Linked DNA regions of Cricetulus griseus. The main gene of each other region encodes a partner of the protein of the gene in region 2 in a complex. Links are inferred from orthologs where the notes say so. Each region holds a gene or a part of one and is shown on either strand. Other genes may lie near its edges. The genes, in order: Ezh2, histone H3.1, Asf1a, Kat6b and Kdm4a.

Region 1 (5,837 bases), on a different chromosome or scaffold from region 2:
TTCTTAGGATCCCCATGGTATTTCAGTGCCCCCAACCAGCAGGAAGTGGTGTGGAGAGAACGATGCCCACATTCCCAAATATTGTTTATAAATGTTTTCATTTAAATGGGGTGATTGCAGCTATTGCTGTTGCTGCTATAGCAGCCACTGTGTCTGGGATTGCCATCTCACAGTCTGTAACTACGGCCAGCACGGTGGGTAAACTGGCAGGGGAAGTAACAGAGGCCCTTAGCACTCAGAGCTCCATAAATAACTTAGTTCAGGTAGAAAGTTTAAATCTTAACAAATTATCAATTGGCCAATCAAATTATTAGGATAAATGGTTCCTCCATCCTCTGGGGAGATCCTCCTTAGGGGATTACAGATGGCAGGCCGTTTAGTCAAAGAATGGGCTGGGTCCTTATCTCTGGGCCTTGCAGCCATAAGACTTGTTATCATTCATTTGGCTAAGGTGCCTTGGCACTAGACAAGCCCAGGCTCAATTTGCCACATGATGGCCACAGAGAATCCTTCAGCTCAACTATGGTTGAGCCTACAGAAAAATTAGGCAGCCAATGACGGGTGAGACCAAGGGCATGCCAGCCAACCTAAGACAGAGTCATACAGCCTGGGTGATTTTTGCATTGACGGGTAAGGTTTGCATCAACATCCTGGTCACCTAACACTGACGTTAATTTATACATAAAAAGGGAGAAGAAAAAAAAAAAAAAAAAAAAAAAGGAAGGGGTAGATGTTGGGCCCCAGCCCCCACAGGGTCTCTGAGTTGCTTGTCGGCCAATAACCACAGGTGCATCCTGTTTTCCAGTCCTGGCTTACAGCCCCAGCCTCGCCCCACTAGCATCAACTATACCTGGGAAAATACTCACTCTTACACCTGGGGTTTCTCCACTGTGCTGTAAGTGTATATAAGGCAGCTCTCCCCCTGGAATAAAGTCAGACAGACGCACATAGCACAAGCGGCCAGACGTCTCTTCTAATTAAATCTCCAGGCTTTTGCCTGATACTTGGACTTAGTCGCGGCTCAGACACCACAATTTTACATATGGACAGCAGATTTGGAGGTTGAACAACTTTTCCTGGGTAACAAGCTGACTCACTTTCCCCGATGAATGCCCAGGACCCACACCAGTGTCATTCACTCAAGACTAAAAGGCAATGGTATCACTGTATCTAGGCAAACACAATGCCAATATGTTTATCATAGACAACTGGAAAACCAAAGCTAAGTTGTGTTTTCCCACTGAATATAGTCTTTCTAGAATCAGTTGATGACGCTCTATGACAAGTGACTCAAGAAGTTCAAGTATTCTTTATTCAAAGTTGAAAAATGTACCATACTGCATTATTGCAAAAATTCACTGGTACAAAACACTTTGCAGCTGGTGAGAAGGCAATAAAAAGTTGATTTTTTAAAACTCATTACTATAAATTACTGTTACAGTACTTTGCAAATTCAGAATTTCAAACTGCATTTTCTTTTTCTAAATTGCCCACAGTCCTCAAGGTTCCTGAAGCTAAGGCAGCTGTTTCAGAGGAGGGAAGAGGTAGGAGATGTCAAGGGATTTCCATTTCTCTTTCGATGCCCACATACTTCAGGGCATCAGCCTGGCTGTATCTGAAACAACATGAACAAGAAGTGACTACTGTCCAATATTAGGAAAACCAAGCCTGTTGATGGAGAGGATTATGTCATGACAACTCGCAGACCCCGTCACTCAGCTGCATTCATGAAGAGGAAGCATGCAACTGTCACTCCTCAGTCCCACAGCCCTCCCTGTGCCTTTGTGGCACTCTACTGAGCCAATTCCACATTGTGATGTCTGTGTCTAATACTGAAAAAGCAAAATTAAGATCTGGAAAGTCCCATCACTAAGGAAGCTGGACACCTTTGCCTGTAACCCTGGTCCACTGAGAGCATGCACGAGACACAGCATGAGGACCCTATTCCAATCCCCAGGTGTCACTCACTTAATTCTCTCCAGCTATACAGTACAATGTACTAGAACTAAGCAACACAGGCCCCCATTTCAGCAACTAAAGTTTCTAGGTGGGGTGGATATTCAGTTACAAGAATTCTCTAACTAGATATCTTTACTTGACCACATTTAAGTAACTGTTTTGTCATGTTTGTCCCACAGCCAGGTAGAACACACTGCCAGCCTGCCTGTCTCCTGCCTGTCTCCTGCCTGCGGAGCTCTACACTGTCAGTTGTACTAGCTTCCCCAAAAAGATTCCACAGTGACCACAGGGTAACGACAACAATTAAAGCAATGAAGATAGATACACAAACTGCACCAATGAGAAAGGGTGCCTTAGAATACCGACGTGAAGTGAGACATAAGACCCAGGGGTCACAGTCATCAACAGCCGGGAGTTCAACGCAGCTTCCTGCGTGGGGTTTGTTTTTTCAAATAAGCATTATATAATTAACACATGGCAACCTATATTGAAGGAGCATTTAACTCCCTTCTGGTGTCCACAGCAATCAATGACTGGCCAGTTCAAAGAATGCCCTCTCCAATGACAGCAGATCAGGCAAAGAACTTAACGGCCTTTGACCTCAGCCCACAGTACAGGAAGGGAAAGCCTGCAGATTATACTAAAAGTTTATTTTACCAACCTGTAATCAAAAAACAGCTCTTCACCAGTCTGGATAGCTCTCTTAGCAAAGATGCCTATCCTGTGATCACCGTTAACCATCATAACTGGAAGGAGAAACACGGGGCTGGTGAGCATGAAGACAGGCCATGGCGGGTAACTGACTTCACACAGCAGGTGCCCCAGAGATACTGAAGTCTGCTATCACTTGGCTGGTAAAAAAGGGAATTTTTTGCATCAAATTGGCAGTGCCAACCTAAAAGCCTACCTTTTGCATAGCAGTTTGGATTTACTGAATGATTAGCAAAACGAATTTTGTTGCCCTTTCGGGTTGCGTCCACCACAAAATCTAAAAAAACAAAAGAAAACAATCCAGTGACTAATTGCAACCATGGACTAAAGTTGTTATGGTTTTAGAAACAGGTCTTCAGGATTTGACCTCAAAAGCAAATAAAACATTCAATACAAAATGACATTTGGAAGAAAATACTATTCTACATTAAAATGAATCCCTGGTGGCTAAATATGGCTCTCAAATGCCACGACTTCTCAATTATATGTTGCTGAACAAAACATGCCTAAAAAAAAAAAAAAAAAAAAAAAAGGATTCCTGCCGAATTTCTGTGAATATCAAGAAGTAGGCATATTGAGATTTAAGATTAGAATATTTCTATGGAACATTTTCATAAAGAAGAAAGAAAACATGTTCTATTTGTCCAGCTGAAAGTTTCTCTGAATATCTGTATTACCAACCCTGGCTGAGGTAGCTGCTGCTTTCCTCACAACCTGTGGACAACACCCTGGGCCACAAGGTTTCCACATGCTGCCTGTGCTCCCAGATCAGAGATGGTGACTAACCGGGTGCTGAAGCTACTCAGCCCCCAAATCCCAGGGAACACAAGACAAACTACAGCTGTGGGGGAGACAATGTCCCCTCACAGCCAGAGTGTCTGGGGCTCCTTGTTTCCTGCATATAACCCTTCTACTCCATGGGGACTTCCCCTCTCCTCACACATCCCTGAGCCTAGGCCTGGTGATAAAAAAATCCCAGGAGCTGTTCCTGTAGACACATGCCCCTTCCTGGCATCTTGCTGACTTCCAACCTGAAATGCTCAGCCAGCAATCAGATCCCAAACCACCTCCAAGGAGCTAAGTGCCTCCAGCTCAGCACACACCACTGTTCAAGGAGCTAAGTGCCTCTAGCTCAGAACACACCACTGTTCAAGGAGCTAAGTGCCTCCAGCTCAGAACACACCACTGTTCAAGGAGCCAAGTGCCTCCAGCTCAGAACACATCACTGTTCAAGGAGCCAAGTGCCTCTAGCTCAGAACATATCACTGTTCAAGGAGCTAAGTGCCTGCAGCTCAGAACACACCACTGTTCAAGGAGCTAAGTGCCTCTAGCTCAGAACATATCACTGTTCAAGGAGCTAAGTGCCTCCAGCTCAGAACACACCACTGTTCAAGGAGCTAAGTGCCTCCAGCTTAGCACGTACCGTTGTTCAAGTTGAAAAGGAAGCTGCACATATACTTGTCATACACTTTCCCTCTTCTGTCTGCTTCATCCTGAGAAATGATCTAGAAGGAAGACACAGGAGGAAATTGTTTGGAGTAAGTAGTCACACCTGTTAGGACATTTAAGGGCCAATGAACAGAATTTTGGTCCCTCTTGAGAATATCAAGGTGCCACAGTAGCCAAATTCTCTTCTCTGGTGTACAACAGTGAAGAATTTTTAAATGTTATTATATCTATTAATTTATGGGAAGATGCTTGTACACTCGTGCCCCGGTGTGTCTGAAGTCAAAAGACAACTGGAGGAGTCATTATTCTCCTCCCATCATGTGGGGTCCTAGGGACTAACCTCAGGTCATCAACCTAGCAGCTGCACCTTTACCACCCAACTCTCAGACCAGCACCCAATACGACATTTCTAAGAAAATCCCAAATCTGAGCGATTTCTGCTGATAAAAGAAAATACAAACTGTGACTTCCTGAAGCTGTCTTAAGGCTCCCCCTACCCCCCAGGCTGACAACTAAAAATGCCAAGTTAATAACGCTGTTGTTTCTCAGTCCCCATCAGCTCATCAATGAAGTAGAACCAATTCTACAAAGCAACGCTCTTGTTCCCGAATCCCTTATCTCCAGGTAATAAAAGCCAAACATGACTACAACTAAAGCAATCTAGCTAGTTACTGCACAAACCAAATCTACAAATACAAATAAGTCCGGGTTTATTTAGTATTCATTCTAACCTAGACTTGTCCAATGAACTCTATCTATCCAAAACAATGCAAGTTGCTGTTATACACAAGACCACTGGATTTCATAGAGTGCCTTACCTCTCCACAGTACTCTGAGATGAATTCATTTTTCTGTACAGGATCTTTGATAAAGATTCCCCAGCCTGCCACATCAGACGGTGCCAGCAGTAAGTGCTAGAGAATAAGCACAATCACATAATGAGAACACAGCAAAAGCAGAAGACTAGCGGGCTGCAACATCTTTGAAAACAAGTTGCCACGGTTAAACCTCAGACCCATCGAGGGGAATCACTCAATTCCCAAATGGATTTGACAGGTACGGAAAGTTGCCTAATGTATCTGAAAACCATGAAAGCAATGTTTCTAAACAAAACTCAGAATAAATATCCTCTTATAGGAAAAACAAAACCAAGCCTCTGGTGTCATGGGTACTGCAGAAGAAAGGGAGGTATGTGAGATCTGCTTTGCTTTTACTTCCTTTCAGTTCTCCACTAATTCATTCAACCTAACATAATCCAAAGGGTTCATGTGGACTGATCACCTAGAGGTGACTGAATTGTGAGGGCTCTGAACTCTTAACAGACTTATCCCCTGACAGACGCAGTTTGACGGCATTACTGGGAGGCGGTACAGACTGGGTGAGTTCTGGTTGGAGGATGTGGTCACTGGTGATGTGTCTTTCAAATGTGTATCTTGTTCGTGGCCCTTCCTGGGTTCCCCTGCCTCCTGTGTGCCATGGATTGAGCTACTGTTGCCCACCGAATGGTGCTCTGTCTCACTATGCACAGGTCAGAAGCAACAGGCAAGGGCCCATGTGCTGAAACTTTACCAGCCAAAACCTCTCTCTTTTAAGTTATTTCGCTCAGGTATTTTGTCACTGTGGCAAAACTGTGAAACACAAAGTATTATTTTTGTTATTTAGTGTGTATGCATACAGTGTATGCATGTGTGTGCACATGTATGTGTGCCCATGTGCAG
Region 2 (4,599 bases):
GCTGCCACAGTCGATGAGAGCTTGCTTTCTTACATATAGATTAGCAGGCAGGAGACAGAGCAAGCAGGAATGCCTAGTATGGACTTTGGAAACTTCAAAGCCCAACCCCATCACACTTTCTTTAAAGATCACACCTCCTAATCCTTTCTCAAACAGCTATAACAACTAGGGAGGAAGCATACAAATGTGTGAGCCTATTAGGGCTGTTCTCATTGAAACCATCACAAGGGTCTTTAAGGGAAGGGGGAAGCTGGTCCAAAGTTGGGGCAGGGGTACAAAATAAAACAAAGACTGCATCTGTTGAGATTGATCAGTGAGAGCCAGAAGTTCAGCTAATTGCTGGTGTTGCAAAGTTGGGAACCTGTAGTGCTTATGTCTAGCCTTTGTCATGGGCCAGCAAGGACACAGTGGGGGCATTTTTTTTTTAATTTAAAAATATTTATTTTATTTTTAAAATATTTTTAAAATTTAAAGCTACAATATTTTTAATTTTGAAATATTGTTAATTTAAAACACTTTTAAATTAAAATCTTTAAATAATTTCTAACTTACATTTTTTTTATTTTAATTGTGTGTGTGTGTGTGTGTGTGTGTGTGTGTGTGTGTGTGTGTGTAGGTGTTTGGCTTGCATGTATACTGTGTGTACTACTTGCATGCCTGGTGCCAGCAGAAGATGTCAGATCCCCTGAGATGAATTAAGGTGGAAGCAAGCCATAGTGTGGGTGCTGGGTTCTGAACCGTGGTCCTCTGGAAGACCAGACAGTTCATTTTACTGAACCACCTCCAGCCCTTGTCCCAGAAGTCCTTAAACCGAGACTATTTTTCTAATATCACAGAACTCAGGAAAATTATGCCCTGTTGCCATATAAAGGAAACACCCAGAGATGCTAGAAGGTTCTTTGTGACTTGACAGTTGAAGCAGGGTTGAAAAAAAAAAAATTCTGAGAATGACTCGAGTTTTTCTACAATCCATGCTGCGGGCCTACCGAGATTAGTCTCTACTAATAGCTCTGGTGTCACTGCCACCCGGAGAGCATATAAGGGGCAGGATGTAAAGAGGAACGCCCAATGGACCAATCAGAGTGGAGTACTCAAACACGCCACCAGGTGCGCAACCAATAGGAATGCAGTGGGCTCTATAAAAGCCGAGCCCACAGGGCACCTTGCACACTCGAGGAGAAGCAGAGAAGAAAAGAACTTCGGGACGATGGCACGCACCAAGCAAACAGCACGCAAGTCGACAGGAGGCAAGGCTCCACGGAAGCAGCTGGCCACGAAGGTGGCCCGCAAGAGTGCACCGGCTACTGGCGGTGTGAAGAAGCCGCATCGCTACCACCCAGGAACCGTGGCGCTTCGTGAGATCCGCCGCTACCAGAAGTCCACCGAGCTGCTGATTCGCAAGCTGCCGTTCCAGCGCCTAGTGCGTGAGATCGCCCAGGATTTCAAGACTGACCTGCGCTTCCAGAGTTCGGCCGTGATGGCGCTGCAGGAGGCCTGCGAGTCCTACCTCGTGGGGCTATTCGAAGACACCAACCTGTGTGCCATCCACGCCAAGCGGGTGACCATCATGCCGAAAGACATCCAGCTGGCTCGTCGCATTCGCGGAGAGCGGGCCTAGACGCCATAGGCTCCTCATCTTTGCACTACTTTGAACCCAAAGGCTCTTTTCAGAGCCACCCACCCAGTCTGAGAAAGTGGTTGTAGCCTTGTAGATTTGATCCCCTGTCCACTTCGTGCGGAGTTGACTTTGAAGTCCAGCGAGCTAGTCCGGCTTTACAGCGGACCCATACCCGTTTAAGCTGTTTGATCAGCAGGTCCCTCCTGCGTTAAGTAGGTCTTCGCCTGAACCTTTGTAACAAGGTTGTAGTGCTGACTGCCCTGCCAGGTAGAGTCCAGCTTCCACAGGCCACAAATACACTACCACAACTATGGTGTGCCGATGACAAGTCTGCATTAACTCCAGTTTACTCCCATTGAAAGTCCCGAAAACCTTGCACTTTGGTTTAAAAGGTTGGCTACTCTTGTGTGTAAAAGTTAGCCCTCTCTCCTACAATGGAAAGCACACTGAGCTGAAGGCACCCACATATGCATACACAGGCGTACTAGCAAGTGTGCACCTGCAAACAATAATAAAATTTAAAATTAAAAGATATAAGGCTCCCATGGAACAGCATCCACGGTCTTCTAAACTCACCTGACTCAGATGTTGCAGCGTGGGTGTGGGTTCACATGGTCCATCAAAAGAAAACTCAGAAACACTTTAAGAATGAATTTAGCCATTGCAACTGCAGGGGATCCCAGCTTCAAGGAACTTTATATTCTCTACACCCAGGACATTTTTTCCTCTATGTTTACACTTTAGCCAGTTGATTACCAACTTGAATGAGGCTTCCAAAAAGACAATGCCAAGTGCAAATTCTCAATTCATCAGGTACCACAGTTTTCTGGATTTCCTGAACCAAGCTTTGCCTTCTTGGGAAAGTCCCAAACAAAGTTCACATAAGGGGACAAAAGGTATCCAGTCTGTCAAAGGATGGGTTAGGCTAGGTGCTAGCTTTCTGGAGCTAGGCCAGGTGCCACCCAGTGGGTGGTTATAACCGTCTAGTTGCTATTACTGCAGCACCAGGTCAGCAGGGTATCACTGTACTCACCAACACATTAAACATAAAATACATAAATATGCATGCACCTGTGCTTGGATGTGTCTGCTCTCTCAATTATATGAAGTTACTCTGCCCTGATTTGTGAGCCCCATGGACAGGCTGATAGACAGTCATAGAAGGATCCTGCTGGGTCTGAGGTTGACCTGGTGCTTTAGGAATGCTAAGACACATTTGCAAACTTCTAGAACTTTAGTAGAGTAGCAGAAAGAATCTTGGGACTTCTTATGAGCCCCACTCTCTAGCCAGCCCCAGCACTCCTACTGCTCAGCTGCAGGCTTCCCCAGGTGACCCCCACAGATTATCTGCATAGAATGTTTCCTTCATACCTGGTTAGATGTCACTGTCCAGCTTGGGCTGCCATGAAAAAGTCACTTGAGATGTCGTGCCCAGGACATACTCAACACTCACAGTATTATTCCCCTGCCTTTGGGATCGTTCGGGGGCTGAAGTCAACATTCACATGGTAAAGACCTGACTCCCATCACTTTAGAATATGACTGTGTCTGTATCTTTAAGGACAGGTAGTTGAGGTAATTAAAGTTGCTGGGATGATCTGAGGCCAGGGTGACAGGTATCTTTGTAAGAAGAGATCAGGACACAGATACACAGAGGACACTGTGAGGACTGAGAGAAGACATGACTGCAAGCCAAAGACAGGAGAGACAGCCCTCTGGAGCATTTCAGACAGGAAGAAATTCCGTGTTGTCAGTGGTGGTGCAGCATGTCTCATACTTGTAATCCCAGCACCCAAGAAATTGAGATGGGAATACTGAAAGTTTGAGGCCAGCCTGGAATACCCCGTCTTTAAACAAAACAAAACAAAACAAAACAAAACAAAAGTGTATGATGAAGTCTCCAGACAATCTCCTAGGATGCGCACAGCATCCTAGGTAGCGCTTAATGGTAGCGCTGTGTTGGGGTGTGGGTTCAAGCCGCCTGAAGAAAGAAGACACGAGGCATTCTAAGGATGATTTAACCTTTCCAGCACTAGTCAATGGGAACTGACTCACTGTCGCTTAGTAAAGGGCATTTTTATCGTTATACAAGTCACAAAATAGCAAATTAATTTCCTATACCAAAACCTCTTATCTAAGCTCCTCAAAGAGACAATGCCAATGCAGATTCCAAAAGTCCCAGGACATCTCAGTTTGCCAAGTCCTCCTGGGACCAGGTTTTGCTTAGGCTTTGAACCTTTAGGAAAGAAACTTTCAGATAAGATTTATCCAGCTGGGTAGTGGTGGCACACGCCTTTAATCCCAGCACTTGGGAGGCAAAGGCAGGTGGATCTCTATAAATTCGAGACCAGAGCTAGTTCCAGGACAGCCTCCAAAGCCACAGAGAAACCCTGTCTCACCCCCCCTCCAAAAAAATTTTACTTTCAACAGACACAAAGGGTAGCCATCACAGAAGGCAGATCAAAGCCAGGTGCCAACACTGTTGAATCAAAACAACTGCAGAATTCTGCAGGAAGGAACACTTGCCTAGCCTGAGCAAGGTTCTGGGTTCAATCCCTATCTAGCACATCCCCTCAAAAAAATTAGCAGGAATACTTTTTATTATACTCGTTCCTCCATACATCACAGAGAAGACCTTCTGGAATTCAAAACAAAAGAAGCTATGGACTCTTGCTGTGCCTGTAAGTACAGTGGAAATTATGTGACCCTGGAGCCATTAGTCACAGTGGGTGAGGGGACAGGGACTGTTCCTGCAGAGAAAGACAGATGATCACTAACTCAGGTAGTGAGGCACTGGACTGGCTTCAGATCAGCCAGTTACTGGGGACCATGGCTACCCCGTTCCCAAGGCCCCGTTTTATAATGTATCCTATCCCAACCTGACGTGTGGAAACAGACTCCAATCAGTTCTGTGGCTTGCTTGAGATGCACAGCATCATCCAGAGTCAGGCGGAGAATGAATGCTGAAGTCTGATGCTCTT
Region 3 (6,418 bases), on a different chromosome or scaffold from region 2:
AGGGACATGATACACTCAAGTACAACCTGAGACTTGGCTTGTGATTCAATCTAGATTTCATTAAGCACCATTTTAGAAAAGTCTATGGAGAACAGAGAGGCATAAAACCATTTCTTTTTGAAGGAATCTGTTCTTTAAACAAGGGTGAAGATGACAGATATCTCCTAAGGTGTTGAGCATGTGTGGTCTATGTTTGGCTTCATTAGTGAGACTATACTAAGCATCCCCTAAGAGACTGTTTCAACAACTGAGGATGGAGACTATGGTGGTGTGGTTCACTATGGTGACCATGAGGGTAAAGTAAAGCACTATATCCTAGGTAAAAAGTCTGGGGATGGAAGCAGCAGTAGGCACTCTCTTTTTCCTTTTGGGTATAAAGGAGAAAATAATCAGGAGTTAGTTTTATACGTGTTTGGAATGTCTAGTAGATGTTTCAGTGTGGATACAACATAGGCCCGATCTTAAAGAATAGAAAATAGGCAATAATACATAAAGACAAGGAAAAGAATGGGATTCCTAAGCACTGAGCCTATGGACTCTCCAAAAGATCGGGAAGATGAAGAATCAATTAAAATATTAGGAGCTATTGGCCAATGAGGGAAGTGATCCAAAAGCTAAATGAAGAAACTAAAGAAGGGTATATGAAAAGCTACTAAGTGACCTAAAGTATTCGCATGGGCTTTGTCACTTTACAAAAATGCTTTATTATACAGATAGATCATTCAAGCACACACATACTGTACATGTGTTATATAAACAAGAAAGCTGAGACTGGGAGAAGCTAAGTAATTTACTAAAAATTCACGTTGCTTACAGATCAGAATTAGAATTCAAGTTGGGCTGCTGCTACTCAAAAGCCTTGGCTTTAAAATAAATACAAGTAACTGGGTAAGTTCTGCCCCTTTCTAGCTGTGAACTAATGAAATTAAAGAACACAGAAGGTGGGTAAAAACTGGCAGTGGAGAGCTAGATAATCCAGCCTCAGTAAGTACAAGCAGTAACTCAAGAAGGGGCACACACTGGGTTTTAATGCCATCGAATGCTTATTTATTAGTTTGTTTATAAAGCCAGTTTTCCTTTCTGAGTTTAGGAAGTTAAGGATAAGTCCTGTGGCACTACAAGTTACTAGCTGGAATTTACTCACTTATTTAAAAAGTTAACTTTTCTATTTAATCATGGTAATCCCAGACAGAAAGTATTTCCATGTGTGATGAGAGGTGTGTTATCCAGAAAATTTTAAGTTAATTACACTGTTGGGAATCTGTAGTCTAGGAGAAAGTATAAAGTCTTTGCAATCAGAATAGGCCTGAACTTTTAAAATATAAAGCCACAGGCTCAGTTTTGGTACACTGCAAATATTAAACCCTAGAAATTGTAGGGAGGCTAATCAGACTTGTACAGGCATAGCAATGGGGGCATGATAAAGCCCCTACTTAGATCCCTTAAAAATTTTAAAGCATTTATTGTGTTTATGTATGTATATGGGCACTAATGTGGAGGTCAGAGGACAACTGGTTGGAGTCAGTTGTCCCTCTACCATGTGGATTCCGGTGTCGATCTCAGGTAGTCAGGCTGAGTAGCTAGTAGCTTTACTGGCTGTGCCATCTATCTCACTGGCCTTTACATCCCACTTTTTAATGTGCTCTACTCTTAGAAGCCCAGTATAAGAAATAACTGTTTCAACCTTAGAGCAAATACTACTCAAGGCTTCTGAAGCAAAGCTACAGGGCAGCTTTTAAAGGAAAATTAAAATAGTTGAAGATGATTGATGAGCATAACAAATGGTGGCTAATCTGTAGGTTGGGGGTAGACCCAAATTATAGACTCAAAATTCCCTTCGAAGGATTTTGTAGTTTGATTTTAAGAATTAAAAAAAAAAAAAAATCACAGTACAACAGAAGTATGGAACCTAGAAAAGAGCTTTTGCAAAATAAGTCAACTCCATTTCCTTACTCCACACAGCCTCTAGATGGAGTACACAGAAATGGCACCTTTTTGAAAGATTCCTTTGCAGCTTTGGAATGACTCAGCTTAAAATATCCTAAAATAATGGTGCCCTGGTTTTGAAGGGTACTAGAGGTAAGGGTATTCTTGACATGAGAGTGATACCATTGATGTGAAAGGACCCCAGTTTAAAACGGAACCTCACTTGGTTTCTGTGGATGGCTGGTTTCGAACTATCCTGTAGAGCCACCCTATAACAATATCCTAGATCATGTCTTCCTTGCACAAAGTTGAATCCTAAAATGGAAGCCATCGCTTGAGAAATACCTGTAATATGAAGAACTTCTAATGCCTAGAACACACTGCTATTGGGATAGAATGGACTCACCCATGCTTTTTTCTTTATCTTTATATATAAATTGGCAGTTAAGAAGAAAAACCAATGTTGTGTTTGGAAATGGGTCTGGTGTGGAAATGCTTTTACTAATACTATCGGACAGTAACAAATGGAGTTTTAAGCAAAACTTACCCTCAACCTTACATCACCACAGCCTATTAGGAGACTACTATATTCTAATCATGAGTCATTCTTCAAAATATTTCCTACATACTAAATTTTTGTGCATTTATACTTTATATAAGTATTAAAAACAACAGAGGGGTACATTTTAAAGTGATGGTGTGGTTAGCTAAAAGAATGGGTGAAAGAGCTGTGACTTCCTTTTCCAACTTTTTAAAGTTTATTGCAACGGGCATATATTGGTTTTATAATTAAACTTAACATCCTACATAAAGTACACTGTGGGGATTTAAAACTTTTAAATGAAAAGAAAAATTCTTTCCGTCATGGTGAGGATAATACTCTTAAAGGCATTTTTACGAAATACTTCCAGGTCCCAAGATGTCCTCCTAACTAACTTAAATTAACACTGATGAAGTTATTACACTTTTTGTTTCAAATTTTGAAAATGAAGCACTGGTTTTACTAAAAGCCTAAGAAAACTGATGATAATCCCTCATTGTAGCTTTCTAAATCCTGTATTCCTTCACTATTTTGCATTTTTTTTAAACCGCAAAACGTACTTCAGAAAAGACTTTGGCTTTTATTCCCTAGCCAACGTCCGTATTTTCTCTATCCGCCTGGCCGTGGAGTTATTTTAATTGCATCTTCGTACGTTCTGGGGAAAGTCTTGGAGACTTTTTAGAAGCCAGTACCGGGAATTGTTGCAGCGCCCAGCTTTGGCTCTTGGGCAGGGTGGAACTTCCTAGCCCCGCACCGTTTCAGAGAGATTTCCGTCCTCCTGGAGAGGCGTCCACACTGCTGGGGAGCCTGCGCGCAGCATCCCGGGCGCCCGCCGGGAGCACCGCGGGGAGGACGACGGTCCCCGGGAGCCAGGCGCCGAGGGGCCGAGTCAGCGCCCGCCTTCCGCGCTGGTTGGTGGAGGGAGCCGGAGAGCGGCGCGAGGACAGCCCCGGCGGGAAGGCGCGGGCCCGCTCGCCCCCGGCGGCCCGGAGCAGGCGTCGTGCCGCCGGGTAAGATGGCTCCGCTCCCCGCCGGGCCGCGGGGCCCTGGGGCCGCCGAGGCCGCACGACCCCCGCCGGCGCCTCACGAGCCGGGGCCGCCCAGCGCCGCCCGCCACAGACAAAGCTGACAACATGGCTCCTCCGCCGGTAAGTTGCTCGCAAGTTGCGGTGCGGCCGGCGTCCCTCAACTTCAAGTTTCCCTCGCATGGCCGCCGCCCGGCCGCCCTCCCGCCGCCCGCGGCCCACCCCGCGCGAGGCCGGGCCGGGAAACTTTAACGTCCGCCGCCACAACTGACAGCCCGGCGCTGCTCACCTTCAGACAGGTCCTCGATGCACTCGAAGGTGATCTCGAACTGGAACGGGTTGTAGAAAGGCGACGGGTTATCCAGCACCACTACATTGTTCACCTGAACCTTTGCCATATTTTGAAGAAAACACAAACAATGGGGCCGGGGCTGGCGGCACCACAGAGTCCCGCGCGCGGCCGCTCGGAGAGCGCAGACCCCCGCCCCGGCGCGGCGCGGCCCGACGTCGTGCAGCGGCGACTTGAGAAACTTTTTTTTTCCCCCTTTTTATTTACACGGCAGCACTCCACAGTGTTTTGCAGCTTTCCTATTCCACTAAACTACAGCCCATTCTGCTCTGATAACTAGCAGCGTTGCGCGCGATTGGCTGCCCCCGAGCTCTGACCCTCCTCCTCCAGCGAGGGCCGTGGCGGCGAGCAAGATGGGCTCCCGCTCGCGGAACGGACGGGAAACTTTCACTGCGGCTCCACCTGCTGGTGTGGACCAGGACAAAGGCGCAGAACAAAGTGAGTGGAATAGGGGCTGGGAGGCCCGCGCGGAGGCCGCCGCCGGCGGGAGGGGGGAGGGGCGGCGCAGGCCCCGCCCCGCCCGCCGGGCCCGCGCCTCACGTCGGGCGTGGCCGCGGCGGGACGGAGGGGCGGGGCCGGAGAGGGGGCGGGCCGGCGGCCGTGGCGGGAGGGCGCGAGCTGGCCCCTCATGTGCGAAGCGTGGGCCTTTGGGTTTTCCGCTGTCCGCCCCGCCTTTAACGTCTGTTCTTCGGTGCGGCGGCTTTGCGGGCTCTGCTGAACGTAGCGGATAAGATGCGATTTTCTGCGCTCGTCAGGCCCAGCTGTGTGTGCTTCCTGTGATGGTAGGGAGTAGGAAGAAGGGCTGGTTGCAATGGAAGTACATTGCATCTCGTAGACCCGTGGCAGCTCGAAAGGAGCAAGCCATTTTGGAAGACAAGTTCTTGGCCACTTATCGACGTTTTGGCAATAGAAAATGAGGGCGGGGAAATCACACCACACACACATACACACACACACACACACACACACACACACACACGAGAGAACGAGAGAGAGAGAGAGAGAGAGAGAGAGAGAGAGAGAGAGAGAGAGAGAGAGAGAGACAGAGACCGGAAAACAAATCTAAATATACGATCTTTGGCTGCACCTTGGATTTCTTCCCATTTCAGACCTGAAATAGAATGAAAGGGGAGATAAGAGGAAAAGATGGGATCAGTCATGTTTCTGCCCTTTGGGGGAGCAGAGCAAGAAGTTAGAAGTCAAGAAAAGGGAAGTGTCAGGAGACCGAAGGACAACAAATTTATTACAATAGAGTTTGAGAAGGAGAAAACAAAGTATACCATGACATTTGGTCTTCAAGAAATTTATACCAACTATTCGTACATTAAAAATAGCATTACGAATTCTGAGGAGCCCTTCTATGCCTGTAATGCCTGTGAAACCATTTCAAGGCCAATTGAGGAAATGTTGCTTATTTATGCTACTGAGCTGCTATTGTGGAGGGGGAAACAGAAGCTTTTAACACCTTTGTGAAAGTAAACTGTTTCCTTTTACTAAATTGAGGTGTTACTCAATTTACTATTGTGTTTTCTCCCCTTTGGAATTAAACTACGAAACGTTATTAAATAAAATTCAGATTGAAAATTGCTTTTAAGTATTAATCTGCAGTTTACAGAATTTTGGTTAGTCATTCTTTGGACATGTTGAGACTTAGGTGGGTTGGTAATGATGAGAAATCTTTGTCTTTGAATGTTATTGTGAAACAGGCCCATTCTCTTAGTTTAAGGAAATGAAAGTGGGGGAGAGAACCACTCTTATTGTCAGTAGACTGAGCAGTCAGGTGGCACATGCCTTTAATCCCAGCACTGGAGAGAAAGAGGCAGGGGGATCTGTGAGTTCAAGGCCAGCCTAGTCTACGGAGTGAGCAGAGTGAGTTCCAAGATGTGCTCCAGAGCTACACAGAGAAACCCTGTCTTGGGAAAAAAGGGGGAGGGAGTGCCTACCAGTTCAATCACAGTTATTTCTGTGCATCAGAGTAAAAGTCACACTGTGGTTGTAGAGGTGGTATACCATGCGGATAAATAATACACATATACACAATACACATGCATAAAGGCCTTGTGAGCAAACAATGAGAAGATAGCATTCACAAGCCATGAGAAAAAAACAAACCAAAGCCTCTGAAGAAACAAACCAATGTTAGGCTTGGAAGGTCTAGCCTCCAGTATTTTGTTATGATAGCCCTAAAAAAATAGTGAAACTATGAAACATTTTTTCTCATAGTGAATGAAGGTTGCTTGAGTAAGCATGTTTAGTCCCAGTATTCATCAGTTATCAAGTACTTTATGAAGCGTGAAATGCAATAGGGAAGATGATGTGGAATCGTGTGCATAGCCATTCTTCAATGGAAGAACCTATTGTTGAACAGGTACCTTGACATTTGAATAGATAAGCAGTGTTTCCACGGGTCCAAAACTCTACAAAGAAAACTATAACATTTAGTTAAATTGAGGTTATACAGAGGCCCGTGAAAAAGCAAGTTAAATTCAATAGAATTAAAATGTTTTGAATGAAATTTTCTTGGAACTGAGAATGAAATGGAGTCCTGCCTGCTGCAAAATGTAAAGCAGAAATGGC
Region 4 (5,951 bases), on a different chromosome or scaffold from region 2:
CATTCTTGAAGAAATGATTGTCTTTTCCTTCCTCTTCTTCTGTCTGCCTTTTCTTCCCCGGCTGATGTTGGAATGCTTTTCTCAGAACTGGCTTTCTGCCCTTTTCCTCCACTTCGATCTCACAGGTAGGCTCCAGATGTGGCATGGGCCTCTCTTCATCTGAGTTGTCAAAGGGCTCATTTAGTACTTCCGTTGTCTCGGAAATGGTCTCGGTTGTTACGCTGCTGTTGATCCTCCTGCGTTTACGACCCCTTTTCTTCTTTACTACAAAAGGCCTCTGAAATTAATTCCAAACATAATACGTAAGTGCTCCTGAGAAATTAAATGGTTGAGGCGATATGCAGCAAATGTGTACTGAATGTGCGCCCGAGAATCTTACATGTCAGGACTTCTGCGATGCCTTTGTACTTAACCTTCCATTTGATGTTGAACATCCCTCTTGGGCGCCAAGAACAAGGCAAGTGTTTTCCAAATAAAACACTTGTTTACTCAAGCAGAGGCTTTGAGAGAGAGAGAGAGAGAGAGAGAGAGAGAGAGAGAGAGAGAGAGAGAGAGAGAGCACCCTAGCAACTTGACTGCAGATTTTAAAAGCTGAGCACGGTTTTTCCAGCATATATTTTCTAAGTGGCACTTGCTAGCTTCAATATCTGACATATCACAGACTGTTTCTATAAACAGTGCTTGTATAAATGCTGCAATAACCAACTATCGGGTCAATTACCTATTACCTGCTAACTGCTATGGAGATGCCCACTGCTTGACAGGCACTATGGGAAATATGGTGGGATAAGACTAATCTCCTTGTCCCAGAAATGAAAGGGCCTTAAAGAAACAATTACTCTACTAGTTAGAAAACAACAGAGTTAGAGATTGGTGGCTGCTGGGATGTGAGCAATTAATACTTTATTATAGACCATTTTGATATGGAAGATGATTAAAATATCTCTGTATAAGATAATAGAACAGACAGGCAGTGGTGGTGCACGCCTTTAATCCCAGTACTTGGGAGGCAGAGACAGGCAGATCTCTGTGAGTCTGAGGCCAGCCTGGTCTGTTCCAGGACAGCCAGGACTGTTACACAGAGAAACCCTGTCAAAAAAACAAAACAAAATAGATAGCCAAGATATGTATCATGAGCTATGAAATTGACGACACTACTCTGTGAGGTGTCAGTACATTTACATGAATGCTAACCTCTAGGTCTGGGCTGTAGCTCACTGGCAGAGCACTTAACCTCTCATGTACAAGGCACTGGGTTCCACTGTCAGCACAGTGAGGAGCAGGAGTACTACCTCCAGATAAATGGTACCAAAGAATTATTGTATCTTACATTTTTTTAAAAAATTATTTAACTTTTACTTCATGCACATTGGTGTGAAAGTGTCAGATCCCTTGAAACTGGAGTTACAGACAGTTGTGAGCTGCCATGTGGGTGCTGGAAATTGAACTCAGGTCTTTGGGAGAGCAGCCAGTGCTCTTAACTGCTGAGCCATCTCTCCGGCCCTGTTTCTTACATTTTTAATTCCTTCAATGTTCTTAAAGAACAAAATTAGGTCTATTACTAATTCTAAAATTTAACCACATTAGTAATTTAACATTTGTTGTTATTAGTTCCCTCCATCTGCTTACCCTCCATAAGCAACCAGATTTCCCAGATACAAGTGCAGCGAGCTAATTCCCTTCAGGTTGAATCCGTATGGACAGCAGTGGCCCATGCCATGCCTTGGATGATTCTGGCTTTTCACGGTTTTATATAGAGTTCCTCTCACTATACTCACAATGTATGAACATATTCTCTGCACAAGAAATCAGAGTAGCCAAAAGTGTACTTCATGGGATGTACATTTCATGGGATGTGCTACCTCCAAATGGGGAGTCAGAAGAAAGAACCTAGGGGAGTCAAACCTTTCAGGAAAGCTCTGGGGAAGTCTTCTTTTGTACCCCATTTGTACTCGTCATGGCTATCCTAACAATATCTGGCCCTGCTGTATGTCATAGACTGAAAATGCAGACAAAGATAGCAGACGGGAGAGAACAATTGCCTACAGACAAAATCAATGCTCCCCTTTCTGTACCGCTGGGTTGGAGCTGGTGTGATTTGGAGAAACTGCTAATGTGTAGCTGGCCACCTGCAAAGCACTAGCCACAAAATCAAGGGCATGGAATACCTAACAACTCTATGTGAGGATAAGGGACATTAACGACAGGAGCACTGGCTTGGAGTTCTGAGATGTGGATGGCCCTCGGGTGAGTCATGTGACCTTGTCAAGTCTGACCTCCCCAGTCCTTGAAGGGTGGTTAGGTATGTGCTCTCTGGTGCCCTCCTGGTTATCATGACTGCATTTACTCTTATCCTGCAGGCCAGCAGGTGGCAGTGACCACCAGACTAGGGAGTTAGCTAGGACAGAGCTAACACCAGGAAACACACATGACATGGATCAGTGGACTGCAACACATAAACTACATCTTCAGAGTGTAAAACAAAAACTAAAGACCACTGCAAAGATGAGTCAGAGGGACTGAAAACAGCTAATCGGCTGAAAAGCTCAACACACACACCTTTCTCTTAATGGAAACTGACTGTGGTTTAGTCAACCGTGGGGGAGATGTCTGAATGTTTTCTTCTTCCTCATCATCTTCCTCTTCATCGTCTTCCTCCTCCTCCTCTTCCTCGTCGTCCTCCTCCTCTTCTTCACTACTCTCTTTGGACAGCTCTAACAGCTGTCCTCGATCCCCGGCCACTGGCCGCCTCTCTGGAGAATGCGAGTATTTATTTTTTGATTGTACTTTTGCAGGTGATTGCCTACTGTTGACTCTAGATGACAGGATCTCTTGTTCCTCCTTTTCCCAGCAGCTGGCTTGTTCCATTAGTCGTTCAGCCTGGTGTGGGGTGGGGGAAAAAATGGTGATTGGTGAGAGGGCAGTTGCATAGTGGGAGCCTCCAAGATCAATGGAAAAGGGTCTCTAAGTGAGTTCTGAAGGGGATAGTCAGCTGGCCAAGCAAATTCGAGTCGTATCATTTCAGGACCCTCTGCATCAGTTAGGATAACAAATCTAAGATGACTGGGTTTCATGGGATATTTAGCAGTATTAATGATGCAGTGAATTGATTCGAGTGCTTTATCACTACATTACATGCTCACTGGCATGGAGCATTCAGAGCAGGTTCATAAACACAAGGAATCGATTGACATGGCAGCACTGCAGCTCAGCACCAAAGCTGATCTGATTACATGCTGTCAGTGGTGAAAATGCTGCTTTGTGATCAATGATAAATGTCTCATTTTTCATACTCAACTCAATAGAATTATCATGTCTTATTCAGTTAGGATAAATTAGTGCTTTATCATTTCATAAGCTCTGTCTATATAACTGAGCTTTTATGATGATGCTAATGACTCAGTTTAAACAAGCTACAAGACTAGAGTGTGACTCAGGATGACAGAGCACATCATTACCTCCTTTTCAGCTTCCCGCTCTTCTTCAGAAACCACAGCATTAGAAATTAAAATTGGGGTCCACCTTAGACTCTCTGGATCAAGTTCATTGGGTCGGGAAGAGTTTTTCAGCTTTTCCATGTGGCCCAATATCAACTTTTCCCTTCTAATGATAACAAACCTGTAACACATCAAGGCAAGACAAAGTGAATTCAAAAGTCGAGATAGAGCGGGGCAGTGGTGGCGCATGCCTTGAATCCTAGCACTAGGGAGGCAGAGGCAGGTAGATCTCTGAGTTCAAGGTCAGCTTGGTCTACAGAGTGCGTTTCAGGACAGCCAGGCTACACACACTTTAATCCCAGCACCGAGGAGACAGAGGCAGGAGGGTCTCTATGAGCTCAAGGCCAGCCTGGTCTACACAGTGAGTTTTAGACCAGCCACGGAGACACAGTGAGACCCTGTCTAAACAAGAACAAACAACTCAGGGTTAGGTGGGTGTGCTGATGCATACCTGTAATCCCAGTATTCAGGAGGGGGGTTGGCAGGAGGCTCACCATGAGTTTGAAGCCTGCCTAGGCTACATCTTGAGATCCTGTCTTAAGTTACAAAGTAAAACTCGTGGGGGAGCCTCACCTCCCCAGGGACCATGTTACTCACCTGCCATCTCTCCTGTCAATCATGTGTAGGTGCTGTAGAGTAGTAGCAATGTCATGTGGGCACATGCCTGTGGCTCTGCTAATGGCCTTGATGCTGATGTGTCTCTCATGATGGTGGTAGAGATATTCCAAGATGACACTTTTCCAGTAAGCCAGGTAGGAGAGTCGGCCCAGATCAGAAAGTGGCTTTTCAGGAGACCCTGCTTGGCCTTCTCTTCTAGAAAGCAAATAGCCTAGGGCAGAAAAAGCAAAATTCCACTCATTTTGGGTGTTTCCAGAGCTAAGTCCAGGAGCCACTAGAAATAATGCAATCAGTGGCAAGGGGAAAGCATCACACAGGTGAAGTGCATCCTGTCAAGCATGTCACCTCTTCTAATTACTGTGATGTCACCTCGTCAAATTTCTGCTTGTCAATCTTTTGTGTTGGCACCATAAACCAATTCACACAGCTGGCTGGAGCAAACATACATGGTGGTTTATGTCACAGAGACTGAAAGTTAAGACTAAAGACATGACTTCAGGTGAGTCTCAACACATAAATCTCCTGCAAGCTTGAAATTCTTCCAGATACTCAATGTCAGTCCCTTAGGAGTCCTGTGGAGGAACCACCCCAGCATTAATGGGCAGGGCTGTTTTCCACAGGCAGACCTGATGACCCTCTGACGGGTAGGGCTTAATAAAACAGAAGGGCTTTGGCTGACACAGTCTGCATTACTTGTTCTGTCTAATCAGCCGATTGATTTGAAGCTGTTTTAGGACTAATAAAACATCTTTCAAGTCAATGGTGGCAACTCCTGTCTGATTTGCTTGCTCTATTTTTACCCTTTTCATGAAAATTAACTTATAAACCAACCCCAGAATGTTGCTCCTACAAATTACAAATAAAACACACGAAAAAAGAAAACCAAAACTTTAAAGTGCACCGTTCCATGTGCATAAAGAAATCCCCAAGCACACGGAGCTTGACTGATACAGCTCTCTGGCAAAGGAACTCTGAAATGAGAAAACTTCAAGCCCACTTGCAGGAAATGAATGAAAGCTGGCGGCTGTCTTGGTAATTAAGAGCCACTTATGGAGTAGAGAAGAAATGCTGCCTGTCAAGTAATGATGTCTTCTTTGCTCTAATTATTTCAACAGCCTCACCTTTGTGAACTTCCTGGATTTAAACAAACATCAACCACATACAGTAGGTGGCAGCAATTACCAAACCAGGCTGCTCTATAGCCACCCAAATCTTCAGCTTCCTCTTCTTTATCTATATTCCCAAAATGGCTGCACTTGCAAGATTTTTTTGTTTGTTTGTTTTTTTGCTGTTGTTACAAAGAGAAACCAATACCTCTGATCCATTTTTTCCCGTTTCTCAAAAGCCAATGCAAACAATGTAGAAATCTAGAACAAGATATTCTATCTCAACAGCATCCTACATCTTGATGGCTTTAACCTGAATGTCGTCATACAGAATAGAAATAAAATAGACATTGGGTTTTGCTTAGGAATTCTGACTTAACTCGTCTTGTCATGTTTAAGTGCAAAGTATCTGACCGAAAGCAAACAAGTCCCGGAGTTTTATAGTCAAACCGCTGTCGACGACGCATCACTCTGCTACAGACTGAGGTTTTCACAGCAGTGTCAGGAATGCTAACATAGATGGCTGCTGTGTAGAAGCCAGCCCACATGGAGGCCTGTCAACATGGGGAGTGCTTTGTTGCCAGAACAGTGGAGGAAGCCCGGATCTCAGAACACAGATAGCTGGCACGTCAATGTCGTGCTTTCCAAGTGCTTGCCACAGTCTGAGAATTTATTTAGTCAGCTGGGGGCCCAGTCTATACTCCTGTGCTCTTGTGCGCAAGTGAGAGTG
Region 5 (5,951 bases), on a different chromosome or scaffold from region 2:
GCCTGGTCTACAGAGCAAGTTCCAAGACAGGCTCCAAAGCTACACAGAGAAACCCTGTCTCCAGAAAAAAAAAAAAAGTAGAAGAAGGAATGAAGAAGAGGGAAGGAGGAGGAGGAAGAAAGAAGTGATGGCATATGGTTTTAAAGCAGTAAAAGCAGATGGAGAAGCAGGTCCGGCAGGAGCTTGAGGTCTGATCTGCACAACAGCACTCTCATGCTCCTGACAGCACTCATGCTCCATCTTTGTGCACTTCCAAGCAGATCACAGAGTTCCAGTTTCCAGGCACAGCATGCAGAGCAGACCCGTATGGGCCTTGGTGTGAGCTATCAGGACATGAAGAAGAGATCACCCTCCTCTCACAGACTCTTGTTCCATCTATCTGGTATATTCCTCCAAACTTCCTCCTTCTCAACATCCTAAATTCCTTCAGCCCAGCTAGGCTGCCAGATCTTCCAATGGGAGCTGCATCACTTAGCATCACCCAGTGCTGAAACCTCATGCTCCTCTTTGTCCACATCTGCTCTGGAGGTCCTGGAAGGCAGTCCTGGCCCATAGAACATGGGCCCTACTGACTACAAGGGTTAGGTAAGCAGGTGGGTAGGACAACACCTTTTTGGAGAACTTAAATGGCTCAAGGCTGCCAGCACACACTGACAGGGCAGAGAAAGGAATTATTGCAAGTGAGAATCCACAAAGAAATGAGAGGGACGCTGAAAGCGTGCAGGCTTTCAGCAGGACTGAAAGGAAGGCATCTAAGGAGAAGCCTCCCTACCCTGTGGATCATGATGGCGGAGGCATCTTGGCTGCAGTCCACGCCATGGATGCAGAGTATGCATCAGTGAGTTGCAATCTGCCTTCTGCAGGAGTACACGCTAGTCTACAGCCTCACCATATGGGAGCTTGGGCAATGCTTTGTCCCTTCCAGGGCCTGTGGACATCTAGGACTGCCTGTCCCTAGCTCTTCCATCTATTTGAAAATAAAGAATAGCAGCACCATTTGCCCACAGGTTAAAAAAGTCACTTTGTTCAATCATATTAGCTGGCAACAAAATGACATCTAACCCAATTTTTTGTATCCATTCACTTAATTGATATCAAATGCAGGAAGAAAAGGAGATGACTAGTATTTATTGGCTTGCTGTAGGCTCTCCAAAAATAAAAATAAAAAACACACCAAAAACTCCAGTAGAATTAATTTACAGTAATAGCCTAAACGATGTTCATAAAATATTTAGTATCCATTACATTTTTGCTATTTGCTAGCTACTCTTTGGACAGTGACTAGCAGGAAGTCAGAGTTCTGCAAACAAAGGACAGGCAGGGTGAACTGCTGTCCCACGGCAGGGGGGTTGGCACCCAGGGGCTTGTGAGGAAAAACAACAAGGTGGCAGCTGCAGGGGTTAAGAAAGTTTCCTAGCTGAAAAGCGTTCTCCTGTAGGTGCTGCGTTACGGGGTACAGAGAGCACTGGTCAAAGCAACCAGAAGGAAGCATGGTGGTGATTAATTCATTAGCCTGCAATCACTATGAGATGCACGCAGGAAGTCTACAGAAATTGAGCCATGACACTTGGAGGAAGTGGAGAGAATTATCTGGGTACTGAAAGACAAGATGAGTGAGGGGGGCTGTGTAATGGCACAGTGGGTGGGGGTGCTATCCTCCGGGCCTGACAACCTGTGAGTTTGATCCACAGGATCCACACAATGGGAGAAGAGAAGAGAAGCAATTCCCAAAAGTTGTTTTCTCAGCTCCACTTGTGTGCCACGGCACAAAGTCACTCACAAAATGAATAATTGAAAAAACAACTTTTTTGGGTTTTGTTTTGTGAGACGGGGTTTCTCTGTGTAGCTCTGCTCACAACCCAAACAAATTTTAAAAGCAGAATGGTTCCTTAAAAAAAGAAGATAAGACACAACACAGGAGGTGGTGAAAACTGTAGTTCCAGGTCAGGGCTAGAGGATCTCAACATTGGGGCTGGAGAGATGGCTTAGAGGTTAAGAGCACTGAGTGCTCTTCCAGAGGTCCTGAGTTCAATTTCCCAGCAACCACATGATGGATCACAACCATCCATTATGAGATCTGGTGCCCTCTTCTGATGTGCAGATATATATGGAAGCAGAATGTTGTATACATAATAAATAAATAAAATATTAAAAAAAAAAGTCTACAACATTGAGTTCCAGGTCAGCCTGTGCAACTTAGTGAGAACCTTAATGAGAGTTTTAAAAAGAAGGGGCGATATGTAAGAGGTAGCTGTAGCAGAAGCAGGAGTCAGGGAGTAAAGAAGTTCAGAGTCAGCCTGAGATGTATCATATAGCAAGATCCAGGGCCAGAGACAACCCATCCATCAGGTAAAAAGCACTGGCCACACAAACCTGATGACTTGAGTTCCATCCCTATACCCCATAGGGAAAGCCAGATGTTGTCCTCTGATTCCAAGTGTCACAGTATACTATACAGGTACCCACACATCACATACATACATACACATGCAACCCTCCCCTAAAATCTTGAAAAAAAAAAAATGTATGTAGCAAGATCCTATCCAAAAGAAAAAGAAAACAACAAGGCACTGGAAATAAGACTCTGCAGCCAAAAGCATAACTGCTGTGTTAGAGTGGACTAAATTCAGTTCCTAGCACCATGTCCAGATGCTCGCTCACCTGTGTCCAGCTCCAGGGCAACCCAACACTTCTGGCTTCTCAAGGCACCTGCCCTCACTTGCACAAACCCACAAAGAGCACACACATACACACAATTTGAAATAAATGATATTTTAAAAAGGATAAGGGGCAAGAAATTTTAAATAGAGACAAAAGGCAGCACTAGGGAAACCTGGACCATACATACATGGAAGACCAACATGGCCCACATGCCAGGATGACAGCAAACTCACAAGCATGCCTATTTCTCAAAGATATCCAACCAAACAAGTTACTTAATATGAAGCAAGAGCAGAAAGCCAGGTGGCCTGTGAGTTCAAGGCCAGCTAGGGCTACATGGTGAGCTCTTACTCTAACACACAAGCACAGGGGAAGGAATGCAGCCACTCTGGCGGGCGTTCATTTACCACAGCGCACGTGTGGAGGTCAGAAACATTAGCAGTTGGCCCTCTCCTTCTCCTATGTGGGTTCAGAAACAGAATTCAGGTCGTTAGGCCTGGTGGCAGGCACCTTTACCTATTAACCAATCTCACTAGCCTCTTTTTGTTGTTTTTGTAAGACAGAGCCTAATGAGCCCCAAGCTGGTCTCAAACACATCATGTAGCCAAGGACGACCATGAACTCCTAACTCCTACCTCCACCACCCAGTGCTGGGACTACAAATGTACACCATCATGCCCAGCTTGACACCTTTTACCCTTACTGTGATCGGGACCATGCAAGCTGTGAGGCTAGGGAAAGAGGTTATCTGCAGAGGTGAATCAGCTGTAGCCAATAGGAATTCTCTCAGCATGGCAGACCAGCCAGGAGCCACAATATACAAAAGGAAGAAAAAAAAAAAAAGCTTCTGGTAACAGTGGGTACTAGGAGGAGACCCAACAAACACATTTCCATGTAGAGCTCTAGGAATCCGTCCTGGTCTCCAAAACAAAGATCTATCAATGACAAGCTAGGATTCCATAGAGCAGTGAAAATTCCTAAGAAGAAAATGCCACTGGATATCAGGGTGAGAAAGGCCACTGGAATGATCTGAATGAAAAAGCCCCCAACAGGAACATATATTTGAATGCTTAGTCACCAGGGAGTAGAACTGTTTGAAAGGATTAGGGGATGTGGCCTGCAGGAAGTGTGTCACTGGGGGGTGGGCTTTCAGGTTGCAAAAGCCCATGCCAAGCCTAGTTGTCTCCCTTTCTGCCTGCAGATCAGGGTGAAGGTCCATAGCACCACACCTATTGCCATGCTTCCTGGCATGACAAAGGACCAAACCTCTGAAACTGTAAGATAAGTCCCAATTAAATGCTTTCTTTTGTAAGTTTTTGTAAGAGTTGCCTTGGTCACGGTGTCTCTTCACAGCAATAAACAGTGACTAAGATGCCACCTTATCTCGAACCCCAAACACCTGGGCTGCAACCACTGCCATCCATCCAAACCTTTCTGCTCTGGGCAAGGAGTCAGAGGAAGGGCTTCCAGCACATCAGCACATCCAACCAAGCTTAGGATTTACACTGCTCTGTCCCTGATGCCACTGCTGAGATGCGGTCCTCTGGATCAACAGTCACACACAGAGAAAGAGGAAGACGGGGACTGTCACCTGGCATTCTGACACAACCACTGCAGGTAGTAGATGCAAGATGAGACAGAGGGAGCCTCTCTCCTGCCCTCCCACACACCTGCAGCACCTTCACCCTCACAGGCCGCCTCTGTCACAAGCTGCCTTGCAGGGCAGTGGCCTCCCACACCACTGCAGAGCCTGTACCTCTGCCAGTTCCTGCTCACTGATGCTTCGGGGAGCACTGCGCTTCTTCTTCACACTAGGCTCTCCTGTGGCGGCCCTGCCATCCCCTCTGGCATAGCTGTGCACAGTGAGAGCTCCTGTTTTCTCCTGGCCTTGACAAGAGACAGATTCGCTGGTTTCAGAATCTGAAGAAACTGAATCCTGGGATGAACTGGAGCCCAGGCTGGAAGAGGATTTCTTTTTGGAACCTGAGAAGACAATGCGTCCTCCTACGGATGCAGGATTCACAGAAAGGTCCAAGGCGGCTGCTTCGGGATCGTCCTCCTCATCCTCCTCTTCTAGTTTGACATTCTTCAGTTCTTCAAATTTGACTTCAGTGGGGTCAGAGTAATCTGAAACACAGGTGCATAATATCAGACAGAGCCAGTTTCCTTGTTGGAAGCAGGATGGCAACCTGGCCACTGTGTGATCAAGACTCAGTGCTCAGCACCAGGGCCCCCAACTTCTTCCTCTCCTTGCTGTGTGAGGGTCCTACCATTTCTTCTTAGGGGCTTCAATCCAAGTCCTGGGCATAAGGTAGCACAACTCACACATGACAGGGTTACGAGCAAGTGGCTGCTGCTGTTCCTCACAGGCCTGTGCACAGCAGCAGCCCAGCTGCTGAAGTCAAAAGAAATTCTACAAAGCACAAGTCCACAGTGCTCTCTAGCCATCAGACATACCTCAGCATGTAACACAGTGCTCCCTAGCCATCAGACATACCTCAGCATGTAACACAGTGCTCTCTAGCCATCATGTACCTCAGCATAGAAACAGTGCCATCAGACAAACCTTGGCATAGAGTAAGCAGATTTCTTCAAGCCCAAAATAAGCCTGTCCCTAAGAAATTTAGACTTGGTGCCTATCTGAGTGCTCCAAAACCGTGTTTCTTACGACACTTGTGAGTCCTCCAGCCTCCAAGTGAACAAATGCTACAGTGGCAGGCACCTGATTTGGTAAAGACACTGTACTCCTCCAACATATACAGTTATATTTAATTAAGACTCTTAAGCTGGGCATGGTGGTGTTTGTCTAGAATAATCCCAGTATTTGAGAGGCAGGAGAAAAGCCCAGTCGAATACCAGTCAGGGAACAGAGCAAAACAATTACTAAAAACAAACCAAGCTCAGTGGCACATGCCTATCACCTCAACACTCAGGAGCCAAGGGTTGGGGATCTTCAGTTCAAAGCTAGGCTAGGCTACACAGTTGAGACCTTCCTTCAAAATCAATAAGCCAAGTGTGGTGGTACATGCCTTTAATACCAGCACTTAAGAGGCTGAGACAGGGGCTGGAGAGATGGCTCAGTGGTTAAGAGCACTGCCTGCTCTTCCAAAGGTCTTGAGTTCAATTCCCAGTCCCAACAACCACATGGTGGCTCACAACCATCTGTAATGAAATCTGGTGCCCTCTTCTGGCTTGCAGACATACCTGCAGACAGAGCACTGTGTACATAATAAATAAATAAATCTTTTTAAAAAAAAAAAAAAAAAAGGAGGCTGAGACAGATCTTGTGG

What was found.
Region 1: the proteins of histone H3.1 (region 2) and Ezh2 are in contact, whole or in part, in a cryo-EM structure (PDB 8VMI), measured with the Homo sapiens proteins. The link is inferred for Cricetulus griseus from reciprocal best matches to the Homo sapiens genes H3-4 and EZH2. Residues at the interface, in NP_003484.1 of Homo sapiens: Ala26, Arg27, Lys28, Ser29, Ala30, Pro31, Ala32, Thr33, Gly34, Gly35, Val36, Lys37, Lys38, Pro39, Arg41; in NP_001190176.1 of Homo sapiens: Arg497, Trp499, Ala500, Cys503, Arg504, Ser514, Phe542, Arg561, Gln570, Leu575, Ala576, Val577, Tyr641, Gln648, Ala651, Asp652, Asp659, Ser664, Phe665, Leu666, Phe667, Asn668, Val674, Arg685, Ala697, Lys698, Val699, Phe724, Asp725, Tyr726.
Region 3: the proteins of histone H3.1 (region 2) and Asf1a are in contact, whole or in part, in a crystal structure (PDB 8Z50), measured with the Homo sapiens proteins. The link is inferred for Cricetulus griseus from reciprocal best matches to the Homo sapiens genes H3-4 and ASF1A. Residues at the interface, in NP_003484.1 of Homo sapiens: Asp107, Leu110, Cys111, His114, Lys123, Gln126, Leu127, Ala128, Arg130, Ile131, Arg132, Gly133; in NP_054753.1 of Homo sapiens: Val45, Ala48, Glu49, Glu51, Asp54, Val92, Thr93, Val94, Leu96, Arg108, Gly110, Tyr111, Tyr112, Asn114, Glu116, Leu140, Asn143, Arg145, Thr147, Phe149.
Region 4: the proteins of histone H3.1 (region 2) and Kat6b are in contact, whole or in part, in a crystal structure (PDB 6OIE), measured with the Homo sapiens proteins. The link is inferred for Cricetulus griseus from reciprocal best matches to the Homo sapiens genes H3-4 and KAT6B. Residues at the interface, in NP_003484.1 of Homo sapiens: Ala2, Arg3, Thr4, Lys5, Gln6, Ala8, Arg9, Ser11, Thr12, Gly13, Gly14, Lys15, Ala16, Pro17; in NP_001357065.1 of Homo sapiens: Ser217, Phe218, Leu220, Arg227, Ser242, Ser243, Gly244, Cys248, Leu249, Lys250, Phe251, Leu255, Trp264, Cys266, Ile267, Glu268, Lys270, Gln278, Ala282, Asp283, Asn284, Met285, Leu286, Phe287, Cys288, Asp289, Asp292, Met307, Pro308, Lys309.
Region 5: the proteins of histone H3.1 (region 2) and Kdm4a are in contact, whole or in part, in a crystal structure (PDB 2YBP), measured with the Homo sapiens proteins. The link is inferred for Cricetulus griseus from reciprocal best matches to the Homo sapiens genes H3-4 and KDM4A. Residues at the interface, in NP_003484.1 of Homo sapiens: Ala32, Thr33, Gly34, Gly35, Val36, Lys37, Lys38, Pro39, His40, Arg41, Tyr42; in NP_055478.2 of Homo sapiens: Ile71, Tyr85, Asn86, Ile87, Gln88, Ala134, Asp135, Val160, Ile166, Thr167, Ile168, Glu169, Gly170, Val171, Tyr175, Tyr177, Glu190, Asp191, His240, Lys241, Met242, Ser288, Thr289, Asn290, Arg309, Asp311, Met312, Val313, Lys314, Ile315.

Annotation. Positions count from the first base shown.
Region 1 is NW_023276806.1:222,412,535-222,418,371, reverse strand, and holds the end of Ezh2 (histone-lysine N-methyltransferase EZH2), read right to left. Parts: intron 5,034-5,837; coding exon 4,938-5,033; intron 4,176-4,937; coding exon 4,094-4,175; intron 2,948-4,093; coding exon 2,867-2,947; intron 2,706-2,866; coding exon 2,621-2,705; intron 1,616-2,620; coding exon 1,555-1,615; 3' UTR 1,291-1,554; downstream 1-1,290. UniProt on the Homo sapiens protein: Polycomb group (PcG) protein. Catalytic subunit of the PRC2/EED-EZH2 complex, which methylates 'Lys-9' (H3K9me) and 'Lys-27' (H3K27me) of histone H3, leading to transcriptional repression of the affected target gene.
Region 2 is NC_048600.1:73,029,046-73,033,644, forward strand, and holds histone H3.1, read left to right. Parts: upstream 1-1,207; coding exon 1,208-1,618; 3' UTR 1,619-1,648; downstream 1,649-4,599. UniProt on the Homo sapiens protein: Core component of nucleosome. Nucleosomes wrap and compact DNA into chromatin, limiting DNA accessibility to the cellular machineries which require DNA as a template.
Region 3 is NC_048595.1:255,438,536-255,444,953, forward strand, and holds the start of Asf1a (histone chaperone ASF1A), read right to left. Parts: upstream 4,295-6,418; 5' UTR 3,891-4,294; coding exon 3,782-3,890; intron 1-3,781. UniProt on the Homo sapiens protein: Histone chaperone that facilitates histone deposition and histone exchange and removal during nucleosome assembly and disassembly.
Region 4 is NW_023276807.1:199,318,012-199,323,962, forward strand, and holds part of Kat6b (histone acetyltransferase KAT6B), read right to left. Parts: intron 4,327-5,951; coding exon 4,095-4,326; intron 3,619-4,094; coding exon 3,459-3,618; intron 2,881-3,458; coding exon 2,560-2,880; intron 278-2,559; coding exon 1-277. UniProt on the Homo sapiens protein: Histone acetyltransferase which may be involved in both positive and negative regulation of transcription. Required for RUNX2-dependent transcriptional activation. May be involved in cerebral cortex development.
Region 5 is NC_048595.1:34,146,851-34,152,801, reverse strand, and holds part of Kdm4a (lysine-specific demethylase 4A), read right to left. Parts: intron 4,789-5,951; coding exon 4,418-4,788; intron 1-4,417. UniProt on the Homo sapiens protein: Histone demethylase that specifically demethylates 'Lys-9' and 'Lys-36' residues of histone H3, thereby playing a central role in histone code. Does not demethylate histone H3 'Lys-4', H3 'Lys-27' nor H4 'Lys-20'.